2 linked regions of the Saccharomyces cerevisiae S288C genome follow. The gene in region 2 interacts genetically with the main gene of each other region. Each region holds a gene or a part of one and is shown on either strand. Other genes may lie near its edges.

What was found. Genes that interact genetically often act in the same process or in processes that back each other up.
Region 1: of SPT4 (region 2) and RAD26, a mutation in one rescues a mutant of the other (synthetic rescue), as found in Saccharomyces cerevisiae (6 studies listed by BioGRID, with this or other methods).

The regions. Positions count from the first base shown.
Region 1 is NC_001142.9:495,664-499,295, reverse strand, and holds the start of RAD26 (DNA-dependent ATPase RAD26), read right to left. Parts: upstream 1,942-3,632; coding exon 1-1,941. Other genes in the region: PET191 (Pet191p), read right to left, coding at 2,287-2,613; RAV1 (Rav1p), read left to right, coding at 2,845-3,632. UniProt on the Saccharomyces cerevisiae protein: May be involved in the preferential repair of active genes.
Region 2 is NC_001139.9:616,795-619,967, forward strand, and holds SPT4 (transcription elongation factor SPT4), read right to left. Parts: upstream 1,031-3,173; coding exon 722-1,030; downstream 1-721. Other genes in the region: membrane insertase COX18, read right to left, coding at 1-484; VHT1 (Vht1p), read right to left, coding at 1,283-3,064.

The sequences.
Region 1 (3,632 bases), on a different chromosome or scaffold from region 2:
AGGATCACCGTAATCTGGATTATGTCTCTTTGTATCTCTGTCAAGTAAATCGGGGTGATTACATATTTTCCTTAGAATGTCGATACCAAATAGAACATTTCTCTTACCGTTTTGTATTTGGTTTAAATCTGAAGAATGCAGAAACTCCAAATATTTGCTTCTTTGATATTTCGTAAGCTTACAAAAGAGAACCATTTCTTTCTTTTGTGGCAGATCTTTTGCAACATCAGCTTTCACACGACGTAACAGGTACGGTGAAATCAAGTCACGCAATGCAACAGCACATTTGTAGCCGGTCTGAACTTGTATGTTTGTTGCGTTTGCATAACCACCAATATTTATAGGTATGACAAACTGTTGTTGAAACACAGGTAGAGTTCCTAATTTACCAGGGAAAATGAAATCAAAAAGCGACCAAAGCTCGGTTAAATTATTCTGTATCGGTGTTCCTGAAAGAATGATCCTATTATGTGTCTTCAGTTTTTTGCAAGTCAATGAAATCTCCGAATCTGGGTTTCTAATCTTATGTCCCTCATCTAAAACAGCATACTGCCATTTAACTTTTAGTAGCTTATCTGAATGTATTCTTAACCCAACGTACGTGGTAATTAAAATGTGCCCATCAGTAACGACTTTATCTATCAACTTATCTAAATGATAGCTTGATTCCAATGCCTTCTTTGTCCTTGTTGAGTTCTTCCAATCCTCGTAAGAAAAATCACTTGGCTTTGAATTCATTATCAAGTTCTCTAGATCGTTTTCATCCATCTTAAATTTTTGGTCAGAAGCCATTCCTGAACCCATTGAGTGCAATATGACCGTCCTCAATGGAGGCCACCAATGCTGGAACTCATTACACCATTGCTTCATCACAGTTGCAGGACAGACAATTAATACAGGGCCTGTTAATAGACCTGAATGATGCAACGCTGCGATAAATGCGATAACTTGAATCGTTTTTCCCAGACCCATTTCGTCACCAATAATACCGCCACAGTTCTGCTGGTAAAGCTCATAGAGCCACTGAACGCACGTCTTTTGGTAATTAAATAACAGCGAGTATATTTCACCGGGTATTTTGAACTGGCTATTAAGTTTTGCGTCGGGAATATTCGGATGAGGTCTTCGCCATTCTGGCAAGTCCGATGACCTTTGACTACCGCAAGAACGTTGTTTCACCCATTTTTTTAACCTTTCTTGATAATACAACTCGTCCCCATCATCCTTCGCCTCACCAGGTTGGCCTCTGAACCGCAGGTCTTCCAGTTCTTTGAGAATTTTATCGTCATTTTCTTCTTCTTCGTCATCTTCACTCTCTTTACCACTCATTTGATAGTCTTGATCGCTGAGATTGTCATCCTCATCCGTTAAATTTTCTACCATTTGTTCTGTTGCCATTTCAAAATCCTCATCTTTTTGTTCGTCATTCTTGGCATACTCTCTGTTTGCAGTGTCCAAGCTGAAACCAGCCTTGTGTCCAAATGCAGTGATCTTACCAGTCCTGATTAAAAACTCCTTCTCAGTTTCACCGGGTCTCTGCAGCCCCTCTTTGGAACCTTTATTTTCAGCACCTTGATCTACCTGCTCTTTCAACTCTTTAATCCTTGATTGGATATCGTCTATGTCCTTCAGAACTCGTTCAATATCGTCTGATTGTAAGTTCTTGATCTGGTCTCGGAGATTCTGCTTAACAGATATCCTAGTGGTATTGTTCAACTTCCTTGTGAGATGATTCTTCTTATTGACATAACGTTGCAGAGCGGTCTTACTCCGTTCTAGACGAGTCTCTTCTTGCTGCAGCGATTGTAGGTTGCTAAAGTTAGTTACATCATTAGCTATTTTTTCCTCCAAACTGCTTTGGGAAAGCACGTTAACTCCCAGATCTTTTAGTGACTCATTGTTTTCAAGTTTCGCATTGTCTTGCTGCTCTTTATCTTCCATCACTGATGTATGTTTCTCTGAGCAATGTTATATATATATATATATATATATTATCAAACCTCTTCCCTTCTTTTTTTTTCTTCCACTTTTATTGCATCGCCCTTAACTGAAATGAAGCTAAGGTATAAATTTGTACTTAGACTGATTATAATTTCTACTTACGGAACTTGTTAAGTGCATTTTTATTGTTCTACCCTCTATTTTTTAAATGTAATGTTCTTGAATACGCTACATGCGTATATATATATATATATATTGTAAGAGGATTACTGGACAAACCGAATAAAAGAGCTTGACGCATATATTTATTTATGTATATATTTACAGGCCAATTTTCATAAATAATCAGTCCTTCTGCTGGCTGTTCAGAAGTTTTAGCTTTTCCATCTCCTCCCTCGGATCAAACTTTCCTTTGCACAAGTTTTCGTACTGTTGATCGTACTTGCCAGTCGACAGAGGTGCGTTACCTGTGAACCGCTTAGTCATGTCGACGATTCCTCGCTTACAATCCAAAAATGCTTTCATCTGAGCAATACAAAGTTCGGGCAGATCCTTATTCAGCTCTGGATTGTCAAGACATTCTTGAGGGTTATGTCTCTCTATCATGACACAGGGCGATCTCTGCAAACATATAGCGACAGCCTTCTTCTGATCTTTACAACTAGCTACCATTCTTTGATATCTACAAACGCACTGCAAATTTATTTGTGTCTATTCTGTTCCGATTAATTGTTATGGCAGCCTTTTAATATACTATCCCTCTTTCTTTAAAGCTGCCCGCATAGCGAAACCTCGTTATGTTATTGTTTCAAGCACTTCAGTTTTTTTAATAATTAAAGGGATCTAAGAACACCGCAAACAATTGAGAAAGTAAACAAACGTGCACACGCAAAGGTAGTTCTCATGTCATTGAACTTTCTTCCAGGACGCCCCAATGCTACCCCTCAGACAGCTTGTCAAGCAACATGGCAAAATCATACCATCTTTGCATATTGTTCAGGGAATAATTTAATCATACTTACCAACAAATTCACTAGGTTACAGACCATATATACACAATCAGACTGTACTGCGGTCGATATTAACAGCCAGAATGGATTCATTGCCCTTTCCTTCCACAATAGGGTGCTCATCTACAAGCCCATTCATCAAATTATGCAGAATCCCAAGTGGACCCAATGTTGCCAGTTGTTCCATGATGACACGCCAGTAAACTGCCTAAGATGGTCTTCTGATAATGAGTTAGCCATTGGATCTGATTTTCTTTCTTTTTGGAAAATTAAGGATAATTTTGGTGTGTATCAACCTATTTTGCAGTGGAACCAAAAACAGCCTAAACCTGTTTATAATGTGATTATATCACAAGATTCGCAGCTGATAGTCAGTATTGGGAAGTACGACTGTAATGCTAAACTATGGAAGCGTGTTTCAATAGTCGGAGAACAAGCCATCTTTAACCTTACTATGTTGCCTCATCCGAAACCTATAACTGCAATGCGGTGGAAAAAAGAGCCAGACCAGGTGAGTAAAAACAACACTGCCTCTCATGCTCTTTATACGCTGTGTGAAGATAAAGTTCTGAGAATATGGTCTTGTTTTGAAATGGAGAAAAACCATACTGTGCAAATATGGGGTGAAGTGCCTCTTTCCCCCACGCAGAAGTTCTGCGTGATAATAGACAATTGGATCAT
Region 2 (3,173 bases):
GTACATTGTACTTCTTGAATAATTTTTTCTGCCTCTTTCTTGTCTCTTTCACTGCCAATAGTGTAATTTGTTCTGGTGTCAAAACGCCAGCATTCTGTAGTTGTAACGGCATGAAAGAACCGTTGGAGCTAATTCTGGCGGCATTTCTAGACTTTTTATTAGTAACGGCTGCCAGTCGAAGTTTAATAATGGGCGTTATTGGCTGTACTAATTTCCTCAGTTCTTGTTGTTTCAAAATTCTCCTCCGCTGCCATATACTGAATGGCAGCGTCACGAGGGTTCTAAGGGTCATAGTAGTCAAAGGAACAAGCACTATCCATGGTATATGTGAGGCTTCATGCACTGTTAAAAACGTGTCCGCTACACTTTGAAAAAGTGAAAAGCTTCTCTTTGTACTTGGATTAGTCCTACCATATCGCAGACCGACTGAGCTGCACGAGAATGACGCAAAACCATTTTGACGATTGGCTAACCTCTTTAACATAATGCCATACTTTATCTTGAAATTTTCCTATCCTTGGACCTTTTTTTTCTAATGAAAGTCTTTTTAGCCTTAGTTGAATTACTGGACGGTAGAAAAATTGGGTTTGCCAGCAAAAACAAAAGTGCAGAACGTTAAATAAATGAAAGCATAAACTCATATGCTAGAATATTTACTAAAAAAAAAAAAAAGTAAAAAAAATTCATTACTATTATACATGTGATATCAGAACGGAAGGTTTTACTCAACTTGACTGCCATCCCTCGGTTTGTAGTGAGGCAACAGCTCCACAACCTCAGCTGGTAGTCTACCATCGACCTTGATGGCGTACATACCAGCTATACTATGATCTACGCTCAGCCACTTTGCTACCCACGACTTAGTAGGCTTACACATTCCTACGAGGCCCTCGAAAGAAGGCGACGTACATTCCATTGTAGAAACACCTGCCTCTTCAAAAATACCCTGACAGTTGGGACAACCATCTCTATTAAACTCATTTGTGGTCTGCACTATGCCACACAGCATACAGGCTCTTTCACTAGACATCTCTTACACTGTACCTCGTTCGCTTTTGCCAAACTGAATGTGGCCAGGTGTAATTATTACACAGTACATCCTTCGAGCCCTTTCTTAAATTTCACTTTTTCACTCGATTTCACTCATAGAACGTATAAGGTGACCTTTATCAACATCGAGATTAATTATAGATAGAAGATGATTAAATTATATACATGAATATATTTATTTGAGGTATGGTGTCTAAAGCGTAATATACCTATCTACTTCACGTAAATTGGACTACGAGGACCGCTTTAAATAGTAGTAACCATCTCTTTCCTCCATATTTTTCTTTACAAATTCTGGAAGCTCTTCACCCTTATTACTATCATACAAGATGATACCATTACCTAGAGCATGTTTCTTTTCGTTTCTCTTGTAAAAAAAAAGTACAACAAACGTCCATAAACCGTAAATAGCACCAAAAATTAAGCTCACGGTGTAACCAGTCTTAAAACGTGGTGACTCCACGGTAGGCCACGCCAAGGTAGGAATCCAGGCGTAAGTGGATTGAGAGAAGGAATAAATGGCGATCCATGTAATAGCCTTCACCTGAGGATCAAACCTTAAGAAGTCATTAATAAACGACCATAGACAAGGCGATGCGGCCACACTGAAATACGTGGTGAAGAAAGCGTACCATTTAGCTTTCGAAGGAATATCCCACTTGATAAGTAAGGCACAAGAAACGGTATTCATTATAGCAGCAAAAACCATGAATATCCACTTACATCTAAATAAATCGGCACCAAAGGCACAAAAAATCACATACGCAAATCCTAAACATGCGGGTATAACACTCAGGTTGTTCACTTGGGCAATGGAGTACTTTGTATTAGACTTTAACCACAAAGTATATGAACCACTATACGCAGTCATGTTATTCCACGAACATGTATCAAAAACAACAAGTACCCAGAATGCTGGAGTACAAAATACTTTCTTCCAAAGTTTTCTGCTCCATAATGGGGCTAGCTTACTTTTATCAACACCATCTTTGATTTGGTTCCTCTTATTTCTGGCCCTTGCAATTCGTATTTCTTCGTCAGTCAGAAATAAAGAGTAACACTTAGATGGTACACCGGGAATAACAAAAAAACCAATAATAGCCGTGGGAAGAGAAATTGCAATGGCATCGATCAGAAACATCCATCTCCAGCCTGCTAGACCATGGACGCCGTTCAAACTTTTGAATATGCGACTTTGCAGAAGTCCTGAAGTCACGGAACCCAATTGTTGCCCACAAAAGAATAAACAGACTCTTGAATTAATTTCATCTGGGGCATACCAACAACCTAGTATATATTGGGACACTGGGTAGTAAGCAGCGCCAAAGGCACTTAAAATAAATCTGTAAGCCCTTAGTTCGGCTAGTGAGTTTGCCCTATAACATGCAAATGTGAACCAAGTCCAGCCCAAGTCCATTACAGGCAAAATAATATGAGAGGGAAATCTTGGTAACAAATACATAAATGGTAATTGGAAGACAATGGCACCAACATTAGCAATAGTAGAAGTGTAAACGTAATCATTACCTTTCATGTTTAAATCTTCCTTCATATTGGAAACATATGCGTTAGTGTAGTTATTCAAATCCACTGACTTGGACCAACATAACATAAAAAAGTATAAAGCAATAATAATGTCTAGCTTGTAAAGAAGCCGTCTTTCAGCCTTGGTTTGAGTAGTATGATTAGGATACAAAAACTCGTACCACTTACGTGATTTCTTGTATTCCTTATTAACACGATACTCGAATTCATCAAAATATTTCCACCATTTACGCCCAGCTTCATCTCTCACTTCATATGGCAAGTCATGCCTTAAATTGTGAGGATGAGGTTCTACAGCTGTAGTTTCTGCCGTAACGTCTGTCTTCGAGGACTTATCTACGCTATGATGTAGCTCCTCTTCAGCTATGATACTGGAGTTAGTATCGTCTGAGTATAAGTACTGATCATCTTCGGGTAGTTTTCTCAAATGTGGGAAGTAGCTCCTCCACGATTTATTCGAAATTGTCATTATCTATTGATTTGTGTCGGTCCTTTTTTGAAAATTGAAACAAATGAAAAGGCGATTGCTCGTGGGTGTAGAGCCTTTATATATAGTTATGTTATAGCCGTAAGAGTCA